Drosophila melanogaster: one gene and its partners. The gene in region 2 interacts genetically with the main gene of each other region. Each region holds a gene or a part of one and is shown on either strand. Other genes may lie near its edges. The genes, in order: dop, sw, dar1 and Dref.

The links.
Region 1: of sw (region 2) and dop, changing one enhances a phenotype caused by changing the other (phenotypic enhancement), as found in Drosophila melanogaster (one study listed by BioGRID).
Region 3: of sw (region 2) and dar1, changing one suppresses a phenotype caused by changing the other (phenotypic suppression), as found in Drosophila melanogaster (one study listed by BioGRID).
Region 4: of sw (region 2) and Dref, changing one suppresses a phenotype caused by changing the other (phenotypic suppression), as found in Drosophila melanogaster (one study listed by BioGRID).

What each region holds. Positions count from the first base shown.
Region 1 is NT_037436.4:15,564,422-15,569,059, forward strand, and holds the start of dop (drop out), read left to right. Parts: upstream 1-1,591; 5' UTR 1,592-1,732; exon of another isoform or gene 1,733-2,378; intron 2,379-3,784; 5' UTR 3,785-3,885; coding exon 3,886-4,549; intron 4,550-4,638. Other genes in the region: SCCRO (squamous cell carcinoma-related oncogene), read left to right, coding at 1-704.
Region 2 is NC_004354.4:20,233,149-20,237,992, forward strand, and holds the start of sw (short wing), read right to left. Parts: upstream 3,051-4,844; 5' UTR 2,935-3,050; intron 2,803-2,934; exon of another isoform or gene 2,656-2,802; intron 2,599-2,655; 5' UTR 2,516-2,598; coding exon 2,361-2,515; intron 2,287-2,360; coding exon 2,140-2,286; intron 1,755-2,139; coding exon 1,627-1,754; intron 1,243-1,626; coding exon 1,180-1,242; intron 296-1,179; coding exon 275-295; intron 1-274. UniProt on the Drosophila melanogaster protein: Acts as one of several non-catalytic accessory components of the cytoplasmic dynein 1 complex that are thought to be involved in linking dynein to cargos and to adapter proteins that regulate dynein function.
Region 3 is NT_037436.4:3,624,732-3,629,354, reverse strand, and holds the start of dar1 (dendritic arbor reduction 1), read right to left. Parts: upstream 3,004-4,623; 5' UTR 2,274-3,003; coding exon 2,211-2,273; intron 1-2,210. UniProt on the Drosophila melanogaster protein: Transcriptional regulator which promotes dendrite growth by suppressing, either directly or indirectly, the expression of the microtubule-severing protein spas.
Region 4 is NT_033779.5:9,963,622-9,969,051, reverse strand, and holds Dref (DNA replication-related element factor), read left to right. Parts: upstream 1-1,822; 5' UTR 1,823-2,166; coding exon 2,167-3,292; intron 3,293-3,383; coding exon 3,384-3,676; intron 3,677-3,736; coding exon 3,737-4,124; intron 4,125-4,184; coding exon 4,185-4,507; 3' UTR 4,508-4,905; downstream 4,906-5,430. Other genes in the region: RpL13 (ribosomal protein L13), read right to left, coding at 631-735, 805-1,113, 1,175-1,417.

The DNA of each region.
Region 1 (4,638 bases), on a different chromosome or scaffold from region 2:
AGTTGGATCGCAAGCGCATCGAGCAGCTATTCATGCGCTATCGGGATCCCAGTGATCCCCTAAAGATCGGATCCCAGGGCGTAATCCACTTCCTGGAGGACTTGGACCTGAAGCCAGACTCAAAACTGGTGCTGATCATAGCGTGGAAATTCCACGCCGAGGTGCAGTGCGAGTTCTCGCGTGATGAGTTTATCAATGGCATGTGCGACCTGGGCATCGATAGCATCGACAAGCTAAAGACCAAGCTGCCCATCCTTGAGCAGGAGCTGAACGACGCCGGCAAGTTCAAGGACTTTTACCACTTTACCTTCAACTACGCCAAGGATCCGGGGCAAAAGGGCATTGACCTGGAAATGGCAATCGCCTACTGGTGCATCGTTCTTAGTGGGCGCTTCAAGTTCTTGGACATCTGGTGCCAGTTCCTCGAGGAGAAACACAAGCGGGCCATCTCGCGAGATACGTGGAACCTGCTGCTCGACTTTGCCACCAACATCGACGACCGGATGAGCAACTACGATTCGGAGGGCGCCTGGCCGGTTCTAATAGACGACTTTGTGGAGTGGTGCCAGGAGAACGATCATCTCAAGGAGGACTCCTCGCCGGCATCCGGCTACCAGCAGCAGTCCAGTGCTAGCTCCAGCTCCCAAAAGAACATATCCAGCGCCTACCAGACCTCGCACAGTACAAACATGAACTATGGCTAACGAATTGTTACACTGTATTGTATTCTCATTAATGATAGATTTGCTTTTATTCTGATTATTCTAAATAACGGAGAATCTAAGCACGGCCGGTAAATTTACATTTTCTCTATAAAAGCGTCATAATAAATAAATAAAGTTAGTAAATGTAAGTCCCCGGCGTCCTATTCATTGAAATTGATAGTGGTAGACAACATCTAGTTCATCCGTTAGAAATAAATAGAAATTGTGGAATATAAGCGTAACATTTTCAAGCTTAAATTTAGAAATCTAAATGAATTTTTATTTCGTTGCTTATGACTAGACATAAATCACATCCCTCTGGTATTATTTTAGTACCTAATATTTTGTAATTTTTACGTTCTTCTATCATTGATAAATACAAATTGAAATAATTTTCCCTTTTGAAATAAAACTCGAATGCTATTATTTTGATGAAATTTTTGGTTTTTTTTTTTTTTTTGAAGTAAAGTGTATTCGATCACCTGTTTTCTAACAATAAGTAAATTTCTTGATGATTAAAAATGTTTACTTTGCAATGTTACATAACTGTACCTACACATACTTTAAAAAATAAATAATTATTTTCATTTTCCAAACATTTAGTGTGAAAATATTTGAAAAAAGTTCAACAAGGTGGAATAGCTTTTCTTCGGTCACACTGAAGAGTACTGTTTAAAATCGATAATTTGCTTATATATTCTGGATCAAAAACAGCTGGTAACTGAAGACGCAACCTTCAATTCTTAAAGCTGAAACGGGTTTTTTTATTTGCTTTTACATAATGTTGTTATTTATATTTTCAAACGCCCCGCCAATAGCAAATTAATCTTAAGATTGGAGTGCCACCACTGCCGTGATTCGATAACTTGAGCAGCATCAGGGGTCATCGCTAGTAATGTGACCGTTCGGCTGATTGATATTGTTACAACGATTTTTTCGGTGTTAAAATATTTAGTAATACCCCTTAAATCGCGATCGAGGCACGCGAGTGTGTGTGTCTGCTTTAGCGTAAATGCTGCGTATGAAATGTAAAGTTCCAAATCGAGTGTTAAGCGATGTAACAGTGAGAAACTGACAATTTATTGTACCAAAAACCCCGTAATCGCAACGTCTGTGGGTGTTCGTGTGCTGTGTGTGTGTGGGGCTCCTTCGCCGCCCCCACACATACACATACACATACACAGCTATACCATTACCCATACCAATGCAAAGCCCCCACTTGCTGTTGTTGTGGCTGCAGTTGTTGTTGTTGTTTTTCCTATTGGCCATAATTAATTTGGTCTCGAAAATCCTTTGCCCTTGGTTATTTATTATTTATTTTTTGTGACTGCTGTTCTGGGCGCTCCACACAATATAATCAAATCCGTGCAAACAGCGGTGGTCGCATTTGCGAATCCAATTATCATGTGAATAACTCGCGCGTCTCGCCTCGAGTGGGCGAAATTTAAACAAATATACACCCCGTTGGCCGTGTGTGTGCGCACCTAGTGTACAATCCGCACAGTGTGTGAATAAATGCCACTAAACAAACACACAAAAATAAACGAAACGAAACGAAAACAAACTGATAACCGCAGAAGTCGTCGGACTACGACAACGTCTACATGGAGACCTCGGAGCACCATTTACGATCGTGCCATATAGTGTCGTATAGCTTATATCGCTCACACAGCTGTTAGCCCCTTGCCGTCTCGAGATCCGATCCCAACCCAACCCATCGTATCCCATCCATTCCGCTCTGCTCTGCTCTGCTCCGCTCCTCACCTGCAGATAATCGTATAATTTAGTGGCCTTTTATTCCGAACAGCGAGGAGGATAAACAATGGAACTGAAACTGGGTTTCTTGGTTTGCATTTCGAGTGTATAAACTCAACCGAAACGTGTAACGAGCCGTTCAATTCAAGAAAGAAATGCAGCCTGCAGTAACTTTTTATCAGTATCAAATTTAACTGAATTGTTAAATAACTATATGGCGATTTCGGAATGATCATTACTGCACTTACTTGCTTTTAGATTTCGAAAAAAATAGATGAGGTTTTCAATGTTAAAGTGATATTATTTCGTTGCCACTATATTTGTTAAATGCATTTCACAATGTTGTACTTAATGATGTTTCAAGATTGAAAGTCTTAGAATGTGGAAATTTCACACAAAGATTTAAAAGAAATAATTTCACATCACATAGTATTGAAAAAATTTGAATGTCTTTTGGAATTTTTAAATTTTGAACACTTATGTATGTATTAGTATGAACTTGAGAAACTATTATTGAATCCATGTATATTTGTAAACATATAAAAGCATATGGATGTGTGTTTATAAATTTCCTAGCGGTCAAATTCGCTATACAAATATTTGGAAAAGTTTCATCTAAATTAGAAACTGTGTTGATACTTAGCTTTCTGAAATTTCTCAATTCCAATTGTGTTTTGTAGTCATTTCAATAGAATGTACGAACAGCCAAACAATTTAGAGCTTGATATTGGTCGATAATTTAAGAATTTCTATTAGTAAAGTGGTACGATCAAGCGGCTTCTATCTACAATTATTAGTTTTTATGCAGAATATGAGCATTGGTAGAATCATTGTATTTTGTGAGGTTGTTGACTCAAAACAATGGCTTCTTAGTCAACTAAAATAGATCTCTGAGTCAGCGGTACTTGATTTTCGGTTGGAAGAGATTTCCGTGTCACCCTTGTCACTGCACAGCATTGTGATTCAACCATTCAGCAGGCACTTGCTCATTGTGGAATTTCTGGACTATCACCCAAAACCAAGTGGGCGATCGCTTCCCGTATATTCCCGAATGTGTGTAGTATGTACTACATATTAGTATATTTCGATCCAAGTTTTGACCGATTTATACATATATAATTATTAGCTGTTAGGCTCGTGCAAAGTGACAGCCCAACGAGATTAATTAGCCAGGGGTTTGTGTGTGGAAGCAATTGCCAGCGTCTGGATGTCGGAGATGGTATGGTGTGGGATGGGATAGGAAGTGAGCTGTTAACTGAGAACTGAGAACTTAGAGCTGGGAAGCGCCTTGCCAGCCGTATGCTAATTAATTGCTTTTATTGCAGCCGCCGACGCCATGCCCAAAAGTCGAAGCAACAAAGCCCCGGAGACAAATAACAACATGCGATCCTGCTAAGATCAGAGCGAACGCGAAGCCAGCACGATCATGAGTCGCCAGGAGGGAGCTGCATCCCGTCCAGCCGATGGAGCCACCGGCCCAGTTGCATCGTCATCATCATCGACATCGTCCAACCACTCAGTGAGTGCTGTCCTTGGCAGCAAGATATCCACCTCAACGCCGCAAAAAAACGATGAGCACCAGGAGCAGGAGTTTATCAATCAGAGCGTGGCAAGCGAGATCGAGGCCATGTCCATCTCGGACTCGGCATCCGCGGAGAGTAGCAGTGGCGCCACGGCCACAGCCACAGCCACCATGAGCGGCAGTCCGGTGCCCAAGCGGCACTTGAGCACGGCCAATCTGTCGCGGATACGCCCGCAATCGAGCTACTCGGCACGCGTACTCATCTTCGACGACTCCGACCAGGAGGCGGCTGCCGCTGCAGCAGCACTTGCGGCAGCATCGTCGTCCTGCAACAGCAGCGTCAAGTCGTGCAGCGGATTGGAGCTGCTGCCCACCTCACCGGCCAAGTTATCCATCGGCAACGACAGCACCAACGGCTCCTCGATGATGCGCAACCTGAACCTGACCAAGAGCTCCTCCGGCGGTCTGAGCGGAAGCTCCAGTTCTTTGCACTCTAGGGGATACACCGCCCTGCTCCGGAAGATCTCCTATCAGCAGCACACCAACTCGCTGCGCGCTGTCAGCGGCGGTAAGAGATTATGCCATCCACATAAAAAAACCTCATGTTGTTTATGAAATGACTTAACGTAAAAAAAAGAAAGTATATATGCATACATA
Region 2 (4,844 bases):
ATATATATTCTAGGATAGGATTACCATATCAAGCGTACACTAAGCAAGTCAGAAAAACTCTAAGGAGCATAGATCGTGTTGTGGATAGATATTGAGCAAACTACACAAATACATAATGTGAGTATATAGAGAAGTTCAGCATAGAGAGGTTTCAAGGTAATGGTAATATATAGGACTACGGGTATAGATACGCTTCTTACGAGTGGCACACAGACCGCTACGGAGGCTGAAAAGTTCTAAGTACGGAATTACGCATACAACGAGGACTACTCACCATAATAATCCGTAGCATGAGCTGCAGTTTTTTTTTCGTGCGTGCCAAAAACAGTTAAGAGGGAAGAAAGAGAAAGTAAATAGACAAATTATTAAATGCGCTCGAACGGTTTACACTCTAATGATCTATGGGTTCGGATGTGGACATGGATGGATGTGGATGGAAAGATTGATGCTGGACAGCGGTGGCCATGCGGAAATGAGTCGAGACTGCGGCGTTAATGAAGCGAAACAAGGCCAATTGGTGTAATGCTTAGTGCTACCAATAACCTTTACAAAAACGCGACAAAAATTAAAGTAATAATTATAAAAAGGCGTGTTTAAAGAGGGGATAAACATGACACATTGCGTTGCAGTACCATTTACAACCTATATTTTTAAAAGTTCGGATTGAAGTGTTCAGATAGTGTGCTGAATATTGCATAGTATACAAAATAGTGACGAATGGTTTTTGAAATCGTGTCTGAGCTTTTCCAGTTTCGAACATTTATAAAATAAACTAACAAAAACAATTGCTGGGATAGATGGGCTAAATTGAGAGCACTGAAGGAACCAAAAACCAATAATGCGGATTGACCAAATCAAGAGAAATCTGTCATAAGATGATCAATCGACCAGAAACTACGTTTCTTGGGCATTGCAACCAAATTGGGCCGAGGCAAAGCAAAAGGAAGCTGTCTAAATTCAAGCAGTTAAGTAGATAGTCCACCGAATTGTCTACGCATGTACGATGCTGACATCCTTCTGCCTGCAGAGCCTTACAGCAAATTTAGACTAAGTCGTGTGGGCGCTTCACATGGAGCTCTTCGTGTATTCACATGTGTATGCCGCTTCGTTTTGTCACAATAACTTTCGTGTGCTGATGTGTGATTAGGTGTGGAGTTTGCTTAAAATTAAGATTAGTACCTTTACGTGGACGCCACCAGTCCTCCATATATCCTGACAGAGGCGAGGAGTGGCAAGAAAGAACTGTATTTGTTATTTTATTTCACTATGGATTATGGTTTCTGTTTGCATCTTTGTTTTTTTTCTCTGCTGGGAGGGACGGGAGTTGGGGGCACTTGATGGGGAACAAAGCGCGGAAACAGGGTCAGCATGCAGCGGTGTAAGCTAGCACCAGACAGAAAGGGAGAGTTTGGAGCACAGACATGGACAGAGAGAGTGAGAGGGACAGATAGATACACTGCTCCTCCGGCGGACGGTGACGGAGTCTGGGAAACAGCAGGGAAGCCAAACACATTTAACAACGAGACCAAGAATAAGAACGGTAACAGTAGCGAGAGATGGAGTCAAACTATGGATAGTGGTTACGGTAGAGCCCAACCAGATCCCCGCCCCGGGGGCAATACGCACCATCGCCGTTTCCGCCTCCGGTACTGGTCGTCTGGGTCTGCTTTGTGTAGACCAGTGTCTCTTTTGGTGGAATGTTCGTAGCCTGCACATTGTAGACGCTTAGGTTGAGGGGCTGTTTCTTTCCGCCGCTGGTGGGGGGTGCACATAAGAAATTGGTATTAGTTAGGAATCGGTTAAATGGCAATAGCAATAGTACAATACATTGATCGTTAAAACTTAATCAGTACTAAGCCCATTGTCTAATCTGTGTAATACTAATTTTTAAAACGGCTAATGCTAAAATTGAATTGTAAAAATTGCCACGCTCTCTAACCAGGATTCCAATTTTGACTACTGATATTTTTTTATGTTAAGCTTGTAGATGGGGAATCTGTCTCTACAGTTGTTTAGCAAAAAAAACTTAGGGAATCAAATGTCTATACCTATATGACCTGAATATGTCTAATATGCCCTGCGAACTTCTGCTTAAGATGGTAATTCTACTCACAAAGCTTTTGCTATGAACTGGCTTACCTCTGGCCATTGACAGTGGCTTGGAGGCTGGCGTCGGGGGTCTGTGTGTTCGAGTTGTCCGAAGTCATCGAGTTGACGGAGGAGAGTGAGGAAAGGACCTCGGAGACGGGGGCCACGCCCAGCGATGACAGCATTTCGTCGAGATCCCTGAAAGAGGCGAACGAAAGTTGGATGATGGCGGTGCTGAGTCAGCTCTGAGGAGAAGCTTATGGCAAACCCACTTGCGCTGATCCTTGTCGATGCCTGCTCCGCCGCCAATGCGACCGGCCGCCTCCTCCATGTCCTTGATCTCCTTCTCGCGACGCCGGCGATCCTTCTCCTCGCGCAGGGCGGCCAACTTGGCCTTCTTGCGTTCCAGCTCAGCCTTGCGATCCATTTCTCGGGGCGATTAGCTGCTGCGATTTGCTGTTCGAGTGGGCGTTCGGTACGGGACTCTAGATCTCTGGCGGGCCAAGTTCTCTGCAAGGGGGATGCATGATTAATGGTCGCCAATATTGGTAGCTTTGATGATGTCACCAACTGCTGGCCAGAAGCAAAGAAAGTGGGTGCGCTGTGTGGTTCTCCACCGCTCGCTTGGCGTGGCGCAGCCAACTCATATGTTCTCCTATCGCCAAGTGGAGCACATTTCCCGGTAACCCAGTGAGTGGCCGTCACTTTACTTTCCTTTGCTCGGCCAAAAAAAAAAAATCAATAATCCAGCGATTGGACTGTGACGTCTTTTCGCCCTGGCTGCGTTTTTCAACTTCCTTCTCTCACTGCTCTTGTGATTTTTCCATGAAATGCACAAAAACCCACCTCTTGACTGTCTTTACTCGTTGTTCGGCTGCTTTTTAAGTACTTAAATCATCATTTTTCAACAATGTAAAAATGCGACTGACTTTTAATGTTTTGACTAACTAGAGATGGAACATCGCCCACGGCCAGTTACTTCGCACAGTTATTGGCACACGAAGGAGATAATGGGCGCGGCTGGTTTACATAGATGCCCAAAGGGTGTGGAAGACTAGGATTCTTAGCGGGATTCCGAATTCTTAATTAACACAAGTTTAAACACAAGAATAAGATTTTACTACTGTACGGCGATAGCTGTGAACAGCTGTCGTGACAGCGATAGTTCCAGTCTTTCCATGCACTAGCGCAGCGATCTGGCAGCACTACTGCGTTTAGCAGAACGCTGTTAGTTACAGTTACATTTCACATACACTGCAACACACTTTATATTTATTAATATTTATATTTATTTATGGAAGAAATCTACAAATCATGCTTAAATAGAGCTTCAAACTGAATATATATATATATATATATATATATATATTATATTATATATTATTAATTATTAATTATTAATTATTAATATTAATTATAAATATATTAGATTAATATATAATTATATTACCATAATTAATAATAGGTAAAAAGTATGTTAATACAGAGATATGCCGCATTTTAAAATTGTTATGTTATAGGTGGCTTACAGTTATCATAAAAAAGTTTTGCACACTCACACACATGCACTATGAAATATCAGTGTTGCTTTCTGAAGCGTAACTTTTAATTTATAGATTCAAGAGAGGTATCTGTAGGTAAATTCGAATTGATACACAGTACCTTAATGATAATACACTGATGTCCCATATGCATACAAAATTAAATAATCCTTTTAGGTCTAAAATTCAGCTAAAATTAATGCCCACAACCTGTGCATTTGTTTGATTAAAATGCTGAGTGTGAAGTACTACAAAATGTAAAAATTAATTAATTAAGAAAGGTAAGCAAGACTATTCTTGTAAAAAATTACCAATACCGCTGAAATTCCCATAGTGACTCAAAACTACTGAGCTTACAAAATACGTTCAGGGTTCTGAAAGTATGTACATACATACGTATGTACATATGTATGTAGATATGTCGTGTTTTAATTGCCCCTCCAAAGTGCCAATTACATTCAATGCGCGTCTTTGGGCCAGTGAAATCACCAGAACCCGCCGTGGAAATAGAAAGCGCACTTAGGCGATGTGTCTTTCCACAATGTATGCCATAATTTGTGCCACCAATGCCAGATGTTGCTGCAACGCGGGGCGCAAAGCGAATCCAACAGTAGTACGTGCCTTCGGTCGTATCTGAATGTATCCGAAAGTATCTGAAAGTATCTGAAAGATACCGTATCCAAAGTGCCAAGGAAGAGGTTTTCATGGGGTTAAAGCGCCCATGAAACTTTTGGGGATTTTATTTCGATTCGATTTGGCGCATCTGCACATCTGCACATCTGAATTTAAATGCCAGCATTCGACGACCCAAAAACTGTAGTCCGAGTTGCTCGTTTCGTAACCGCATTGATAAACCGGACTCGAACTGGAATCGCTCCGATGATCCCCCATGCTGCAGTAAAAACCTTGAATTGCCAAATCTTCGACTGCTCAACTTTTTGCTCCAGGCCGACAAATCTTGCACATGGGCGGGAGTTGGCAAACCGATGAGCGGATACTTAATATCTTCGCTTTTTCCCCGCGCTAATTGCCAGGCCAAACCTGTCGCACCGAAGTCGAGATGCCAGCGCGATTAGTTTACAAATTAATTTGCCAATTGAATTTCAGATTTAGACGTCTGGCCGGGCTTCCAAGAACCACCTCCACCTGGTTTCCACATGGGATCGGGCGAGAGTAAAAGTGTATTGTTAATTAGCCACTACACGCCGCCAACCT
Region 3 (4,623 bases), on a different chromosome or scaffold from region 2:
TCAGGGTCATTAATCAGAGCCGCAAAAGTCGGCGCTATAACCGCCTGGCTACGTGCTGGATTACTTCCATTATTCACTGAATGTATTCGATACGCAGATACTCGGATACTTGGATACTTCTATACTCAGTGCAGCTAATTCCCTGTAAGCGATCGTAAACTAATTTCGTTTAGAGCCATAAAATACGAAAGTTTTTCGTCATAATCGCCGTGAGTCGTGGGAATTACCTTACCATATCTCATCATATCTGTTAAATCAGTGGAAAACGGAAGAAGTCCACCCCCTCACCCAAAAGCTTACACTATCTGGAGGAAGTGGATGGGGCTTCCAGGGGGCCAAAGGGGGCCAACAGCGCTTTGTACTTTTGCGACTGTGTGTAAATATTTGACAACACATGCCTAATTAGTGCAGCTATTGATGGTGACAGGCGGAACAAGCACAACACACTTGTCGAACACCCAGCTCTTTTACGATGCCTTTTTACCCGGAATCGCCAATGTCTCGGGTTTCTTCGTCTGTACCTATGTATGTATATCTGTTTCGCTGAGGTTCCCGGAGTTCGATCCTTATCTCTGGGGGAAGGAAGTGTTCTGAGGAGGGCAGCTGGAGGCACTTAACACAGAGCTTTTGTTGAGCAAGGCTAGACTTTCTGCGGGAAACTGAACTTATCAATGGGCGTAAGGCTGGTAGACCAACGGTTGTAAAATGTTGAGATAAGGCAATAAGACAGGGAATGATAGGAAAATTTAGGAAGATAGCCTACACATCATAAAATTTATAAGAAAGATAATCAAGGCTCAAGATTATTGGTAATAAAAAAGTACGTATACTTTGAAAAATTAATTCATGGTAAATGAGTATGGCCTAAAAACTTAACCTATACTCGATAACTTTAATAACCACAATCTGTGCGATCAGTTTCACTCTAAAGTATTTATTGACATTCAGCAATAAACAGGATAAACAGTTCCTCGGAAAGACATATTACTCATACGTATGTACCCTTGCCGTTTGTAATTATGTTCTCATACTATCCAATACCATCGATCAATGCCACCCAGTCGATGATCAGGCTATAGCTATATGTATATATTCCCGGGTAGGAACCGTGTTGAAACCATCTCGTCAGTCAGTTGGGGACACTTGGCACATTGGCAAAGTGTTGGGGGCAAATATTTACCCAGAGCTTCGCAAGTAAGCGCGAGTCAAACAATTGAGGCAAACAAGCCGGGAAAACAGAAAAACAGGCTGCAAACATGGATATCGAAAGGAGGAGTGCGGATCGGATCGCATCGGATGGACTGTGATCGCCACAGTTTCCCTGCGGAACGCGTGAAAAGTGTGGATGAGTTCAAAAGAGTTAACCGACCGTGTATTTGAGAACGGCTTTAAGAGCCGAGAGTTCCTGCAGGTGATAACAAGATTTACAAATCGATTGTCGCATTTGACAAACAAAAAAAAACAAAAATGGGGAAAAAACGGCGAAGGAACCGAAGGAACACCTGAGGAAATCCAAGGTGTTAATCTCTGTCGAAACACACTCGAGAACACTCAAAAATTACGCAGTCCAACTCCTCATCTCAATCGATAATTGAGCTAATTTGTTTTCGGTTTTATTGTAATTTGTGATTGCCGCGTGCGTTTTATTTATACTCGTACTCGAATTCGTACAAAAATCGTCAAAAATCTGGTCTGTTCAAGATTTGCATTTTGATAAGCGGAAGTTGTTGGGCTTAAGGTGTTTTTCATGTGATTTGTAAGCTCTCGTATTTGTTGTGTGCTCGCTTATTGTTGTCAAATTTGGCTAAAATTAATTTGCAATAAAAGCGGCTTAATTAGCGCACTTTGGTACGTAAAGTTTTTTTTGTTTCATTTGAATTGGGTTTGACAAGGAACCTGTGATTGCAAATTAATTGGCTAATGATTACGATATTTAAACGCTTTGTGATGTGTTCATCCTTGTTTAAAGACACACATATTCTTTCTATAATAGTTGGATATATTTCCATTTGAATGTTGATCAAGCTAGGGAATTTTATTTAAGTGATTGATATTTGAAATTTCGACACTGCCTTTTATTTGATAGAAAATATCTATCTGCTATTTGGATTTTATTTATTACAAAAGATCAAGTTTTCTAGATCTTTTCGCTGGAATTTCCAGAATGTCTTAAGTAGCCTTTAATTAAATATTCTAGTAACCGAACTCACCTGCATCACCCAGTAGTTATTGTTGGCGGCAAACTGATCACCAATTATGATATCCGTATGCATTTAAGCGGCGTTTTTCGCATGAAGCTCCTTCACTCGACTGTTGGCCAGGTGGAATGCCTGGCGGGGGAGGGGATGCCACCGATTCTACCGATATTCTACCAATATTTAACCCGACAATTTGCAACTGGGCTCCGTACTTTTGTGTTTGCGGACAATTAAATGGCGCTGCTCTGACTCACGAGTCACGATCAGTTCAAGGCACAGTGATTAATCAATTTCGGATGCGAATTCAAAATCGTATTCGGAATCGAATTTCGGGATTATTATTGAATACTTCAGCTTGACATGGCACTGCGAGCAACAGACATTGCGGCACGTTTTCTTATTATTCAATTGCTTTTTGTTATTTGTTGTTAAATTAATTTAATTTGCAAGGATATGCAAATGAAGGCACTCGATCACTTTCTCTCACTCTTTTGTTTCCCTTTGTTTGCACACTGATTTTTTGTATCCTTTGCGTTAATTGCACAAAATTAATAAAAGCCGGCGGCTTTCGCTCACTTCCGCATTCGATGATGAGCTTCGGCTTGTATCTTATTTGTATCTGTATCTCTTGTTCCTCTCGATATGCTGTATATATGGGCAGTAAATTCGTTGCAATATTCTACAGATAATGGTAAGGCACTTGCGGGTTTCAATTTATAACTTATTTTCTGTGTTGCTTGAGTGGATATTTAGGCGATTCACGCGCTCGTCGGCGAAGTTGTTACTGCGCTGGCGGGAACCGAGTTCGTACTGATTGGACGAGCGCGGGTTTCGCGCAGACGAGCCTCGAAAGTCAGAAAGCCAGTCAGCTAGCTGCCGCTTAACCCCCGCCGCTTAACCCTCCACTGCCCGCTCTGTGCCGCTCTCGCTCACCTTTCGTATCTGTATCTGTCGGATACTCTGCTCACCAGGTGTTCCGCTCACCTGGTCCGCTCTCCGCCACTTTCGGCCCAGGTGATCTGTCGCTCTTATATCCGACTCTCAGGTGTGTTCCAGCCAGCTGATCTTATTGGAGACACTGGAGTATAAGAGCTGCGATCGATTTTAATTGAATGAACCGCCTGGGATTCGCCATTTTAGATTTGACCTGCGGTAGAGGTGGTAATGGGTGAAAAAGTAAGTAACCACGCTTCAGAAAAGATCTCGAAATAGGGCAAGGAGGTTAGAAATTAAAGTTTATAAGTCCCTTATGGAGTATTCAGTAACAAATAAATAAAAATTATTAATTTTAGAGTAATAATTTTATTATAATCCGATCAATTAGAATATCATTTAAATTTACAAAACTTTACAATTAAATGTTTATATAAATAAAATCTACATATATGGCTTCGATTTGATTTAATTGATTTCCGTAAAGAACTTTTATACGACAGAGTGTTTTTTAAGGACCTCGTTCTTTTTTTATAAGTTTTATAACTTAAGGTATAAAATTGGTAGCCTTTAAGGAGTAATAAATCAAAAACATACAAAGCATAATCCCCGAACAGAACCTCCCCCATTAAAACCGCTTTACTACACCGTTCATTAAGTTTGACACATTTTAGATAGAGCCTAAACAAAATAAAAACTGTCCAGCTAACACGCGAATCTTTCATAGACCTCATGCAGTTTTAGATGGTAAAAAAAAAACATAATTAAATAGAATTAAAGCATAAATTAAGTCAGCTTATGTGCTTTCTTTGGGGGAAATCAATAGAGCGACAATTAAAAGGTATCTGTATCTACATATTCCAGGTGGAAAGCAAAAGAAGAACGAGGACTGTCATTTCCCTGTGTAATTCCCTGAATCATAAAATTACCCCAACGCACGCCACACATAAAAGCCATTTTCATTTCGACTCATCCCCCTGGTTTCCTTATTTTTGGCCATTAGGGAGCCACAAGTTTATGTTTTCCGCGCGCGGGGGGGTAAAATGGTTGGTGCAGGGGGGCCAAAAGTATCTGAAATAACACGCAAACGTGGTTTTCTAAGGGGGTTTTTAGAGGTGTGGCCTCTCCGGATAGCGGCGCAGACTCAAAAGTCAGCCAATCGGCGGTCGACAAAAAGAGCGAGAAACACGAGATACAAGATACAACGAGTGAGCGGGACGGGGCATGCGGTTAGAAAGAGAGAGCGAGACACTTTTGCGTACACGGTGGCAGTAAGTGGAAAAAACAACAACAACGCTACACGCAGGTGGAAAAACAAAAACATCAACATACATGGTCAGATACGAAAGTATCTACACTCGCAGATACATTCGTCCATATTCGACGCCACCGATAATTGACTGTAGTATTCCCCGGCTTTCGCTATTGACTTCGTGCAAATTTGCCATTAATGCCACCGCAGACGTCTGCAGATACAAGCCGAGATACTCAG
Region 4 (5,430 bases), on a different chromosome or scaffold from region 2:
TAAAAAAAAAGATGAAACGCGATAGTGAAGCCCTTCACTCACTCAGCTTATCAATTTTAAACTCAATATTTTCAGATATAGTGAAACGCGCATATGTACATACATATGTACATAGGCATAAATACCTTAAAAGGTATTGCAAATATATTACTGCAGAGATAAAATACAGTTGTTTAGTTTAATCTTTACCCTACACCATTCTAATGAAAAATTCAATATATTGTAATTAACATTTCAACAAAAGATATTTAAAAAAATAAGAAACGTAGCTTCTGCAACCTTTTCGTTTGCTCAAGATGCGTATCCTAAGAAAATCTTCTATATGGCACCACAGATTTAACTTTTTAATAATTTAACCCAAATAAATTAAGAAGCTGGTAAAAATAAGAAAAAATAAAAAAGTAATGGCAAGCAACATACGTTTCTTTTTTTGGATGCAGCAGCTAAAAACAAACGCGCCAGTTTGAATTCAACGCGCCAAAGCTACTTATCGATAGCAACACGGGTTATCGATAAGTCTTACGCCAGACGCGACAATAACAACAATGTGCACAAATATTCACGTTTAAGAAAAACTAAGATTTTATTCTGGTTGATGTTGTAGACAGAACGATCAGGTTAAGATGTGGTTTACTTCTTGGCCTTCTTGGGGTCTCCCTTGGCGGCGTCCTCGCTCTCAGCGGCCTCCTTGGCGCGCTTGGCGCGGATTCCGACCAAACGGGCATCAGTGCGAGCCTGCAAATATAGTTTGGCGGCGAATAAGTATAACGAGCTACCGGCGGATCACGAAACCAAAAAACTTACCTTGCGCAGCGTGGCGAAGGCCTTGAACTTCTTCTCATCCTTGGTCACCTCACGGAACTCGACCACGGCGGGCTGCTCATTTTTGATGGGCAGGACGGGTCCCTTAAGCTGGGTAGCCAGCTTGCACTCCTCCAGAGAGGACTCGCCGGCGCGGATCTTCTTCTCGTTGATGGGGAACAGGATCAACTTGCTGCGGTACTCCTTGAGGCGCTGGATGTTACGCTGGCGGGACTCCAGGGATTTGTTCTTGCGCCTCCTGTCGACGGCAATGCCGATGGTCTTGGCGAAGTTGGCGCCAATGCCGGCACCCTGTAAACAGAGATTTTGTTAGTGGCCAATGGATTCCGATAATGTTTTCGGCTTCACTTACCTTCAGCTCCTCCAGGGTGAAACCACGGCCGGCACGCAGCTTGGTGTGGTAGCGGATGGTGGGGCAGCGAACCACAGGGCGCAGGGCACCGCTGGCTGGGCGGGGGAAGACGGCCTTAGCCTTCTTGACGCGGTTCGCATGCCTGCGGACCTTGCGGGCCGGCTGGTTGAACCAGGTCTTCACATGCCGCTGCCACCACTTGTGGTAGTGCTGATTCGGAATCATATTGTTACCCTTACCCATCTTGGCGGTTTAGATTGGCTGCAACGAGGGCAAAAACACAATAATAACATCAATGTCTCTTTGTAAACTCGTATATATGGGATAACCAAGCTGCAGGCCCACGTGGCTGGCGAATTTCGATTTGTTTAAGCCGTAATTCCGAGCACTTCTTCATGCCTACGGGTGTCAATGATGCCCACTTGTGTCCTCCACACTTGGCACACTCGATGGCTCGATTTGCATTTCGTTTATCTTTTATTTTCATTGAATTTCGTGACGCTCACGAAATTTACACACCTTTTCTTCCCAACAACGAATTAAAAAGGAAATCGCAACCAACTTCACGTCGTAGGCCAAGCGAAAATTTCCCTAGAGAAATTCCCCCGGCCGAGCGAGAAATTTCCCCAGCTATCGATTGGTGATGCAATCAGTGTTAGCGAGAATACTCAACAAATCGCATTTTTTACGACAGTCAGACGTATTGAAATTAAAAAGCGGTGACTCTCATATTTGAGCAGTCTGTAAAAATAATCTCAAATAAATGAGAGTGCATTTGAAGCATTTAGCAACGTTTTATTGCCTTATCGATTGACGGCGTGTCGCGTGGCAACTCTGAACTGTACTTCTGATACAGATAAAAAACTATTGACTATTGAACCGTCTATCTATAATCGAGAAATTGCGCGCTAATACACGCATTGGGCACAGCAATCGTTGTCGAATCTAATTCAAAACAAACAAGAAGATCCCAATCCCCCACAGAAGACAAGATGAGCGAAGGGGTACCAGCGTCGCCCGTGGCCATTGGCGAACTCAAGTACGAGGATGTGTCGCAGCTAAATTTTTCCAAACTGTACTCGCCCAAGATGAAAAGCGTATACTGGCGCTACTTTGGATTCCCCTCGAACGACAATAATGAGGTGATTACCAAACAGAATGTGGTCTGCATTAAGTGTCACAAGGTGCTGACCAACCATGGCAACACCACCAATTTGCGTGCGCATCTCCAGCACCGACACAAGGATCTGTTCAAGGAGCTGTGCCAGGAGCACGACATCCATGTGCCGCCGCGCAAGACGCCGCGTAATGTATCCCATCCACCGCTGTCCAAGCGGAATGTTTCCTCGCGGCGGGTCAAACTGGAGTTCATTAATAACCGGAACCACGATAACGCTTCCGATGATGAACTGGACGAAGCAGCCGTGGCAACTGCGGCCATGCAGGCGGAGGAGGACGCCTCCTCGCAAACCATGCTGTACGAGACCATGGTGCCCTTCACCTACGACGAGGCCGAAAATCTGGTAGAGGAGGAGGAGCGCCTAGTTATGGAACCAAAGTACGGACGCAAACGCAAAGTGGCCACTCCATCGAGTGCCCTGATGCACGGGCGTGTCATCAAGCACGAGGAAGGCGGCTATGCCGCCGTGGCGAACATCGCCAATCTGGCCGAAGCCCTTACGGACATTGTGATTAAGGATTTGCGCAATGTGGATTCTCTGTACGATGCCGGTTTTGGTGAATTCCTGCGTCAAGTCCTAGGCAATTCGGCAGCCATGCCCGAGCCACACAAGATCGACTCTTTGATCAATGAGATGCACGCCTCCAAGTTTCTGGAGATTGGCGAAATCACGCGCGATTTCACCTCCGAGAAGCCCTTCTCTCTCGCCTTTGAGATGTGGGTGAATGTTGAACAGCGGCGCTTCCTTAGCATCTTCCATCACTTTCTGGACGAGGAGACGCACTCAGTTCGCGGTATGCTGTATGCCACCGTGGAGTACAACGACTACATCGTCTTTGACGATCTGCTGACCGACTTCTATTTGGCCAATTGCACACTGGCCATCATAAACTACGACGAGGAAGAGGACCTTTTGCACACCTATCTGCGAGAGAAAAGTGAGTGCATTAGCAAGTCAGAATTATTTACCTTATATAGAATATATATCAAATATTGGACTTCCTAATGAATATGAATCTTTTATTGCAGATATACCCATTTCGCTGTGCTACGTTTCGGTAATTGACAAATGTTTGCGTCGTGTGTTTGAGATCGAAGAGGTGGCCACTTTATTGGAGCAGGTGAAGGACCTAATGCAGCGTCATTCAACGGAGATTGCCTCCAAGGTGTCCGAGGTGCCCATGCCCACGTACAACGAGCACTTCCCCTGGACACTGTACGAAACATTGAAGTTCTTTGCCGAGTCCATATCTTGGTCCGAGGACATGGATCACCTGGTTATATCAGCCAAGACGGTGACGGAGGCCCTGAGTGCTCTGGTGGTAAGCCATCAAGCTAAATGAGACGTTTAAGCAGTTTTCTTATTGTGTGAAATCTTTTAGATTGCTTTGGACACGCTGCGTGGCGAAGACATTCCCTTGTGTAGCATGCTTTCGCCAATCACTTCAAAGATTCTTATCAAGAAGTTGGGCATCGCCGAGCAGGACGATCCCCTAATGATGAATTTGAAGCGGACCATTTCCAGTGTCCTCCAGGCGCACGTTATATCCAATGACAATCTGACCGCTGCTGCATTGTTGGACCCACGCTTCCACCGCCTGACCACCATTGACAACCTAGAGCGAACCGTTCGTATGCTGACCCATAAGTATAACATTAACTTTGGTGGAGTGGGCGAAGGGGAATCCAACGAAGTGGCAGCTACCTCCAGCGTGGTGGCCATTAAGTCAGAACCAAGAGTAGTGGACGGCAGTGCACCAAAGAAGTTGGGTAAGTGCATCGAACTAAATCGATTATCATAAACCATGGACTAAACGAAAATGCCCGTAGGTCTGAAACTGCTGTTTGACAGTAACGAGATACCAAATCCTCCGAAGCGAGATGCGGACAGCAGCGTGGAGTCCGATCTTAAGCGATATCGCAACGAGGTGGTCGTTCAGCTGGATGAGTCGCCCATCGAGTGGTGGCTCAAGATGGGACACATTTATGGAACGCTCCGCGATTTGGCCAGCCTGTACCATAGTGTGCCCGGCGTGGTGACGCTCAGCTTCAAGAAGGCGCTGAGAGACCAAATATACGACTTCAACAAGCGATTCATGCTCACCGGTAGTCACATCGACGCCATCCTCTTTCTTCATCATCACAACAATTAGTCTGCACTGGCGACTACTGTTTCTTATAATGCAAATACTTTTTAATTACTTTTAACGTAATCCGATCTTGTGTATATGAAAATGACTACCAGGGGCGAGGCAAATAGTAATAGCGATTCCGCAGTACTTTTAACCAAAAGACAGCCTTGGGACGTACACGGAACATCTTAAGTTATCGACGTATAAATGTTAAGGGAACATTTTGACATCATATATTCAAATCAAACAGATAATCTAAGAATATTTGTTTAATAAATCCATAACGAAAAAATATCACGCTTATCAAGCTCACTTGTAAATCCCCTTATATCCATTTCAAGAGAACTAATTAAATACTTAACTTAGTTGTACATAATTGATATTTTAATCTTATAAATAAATAAAATGCATCTAACTTTCGTGAATTGTTTTATTGAACTAACTAAAATTAGATATTTTACAATTAATTCAGTATTAAAAAAATTTCTGAACTACGAAACAATTAGTAGTCGGTTTGGAGTTAGCTACTTTATATATTTGACATATTTCTTTAATTTTCAAAATATGTTTTATTTTTTTACTCTGCAGCCCTCGAAATTTCCCTTTTTTAAATCATCGGAAAATTTTCATATTTTTCGTCTGCGACAAACAAAATCTAAATAATCTTCGACATTTGTTTTTTAATTAAGTTAATTTTTTTACTGATAGCTTTTAAACTTTAAAATAAAACAAATAGTAAAAATTTTAAATAATATAAAACCGGGAGGAAGTCTGTATTTTAGTCATTTCGGATTTCGCATTGGCTGGTCACACCAATTAGACGTAGGCACCCGACCCACGAACTGGATTCCTCACAAAAGAAGGGCACGAAAGCCGCGATATTACTGCCAATAGGACTGAAACCAATAGATCGAAGAACTTGCTCTGCCAGCAGGAGATCTCTG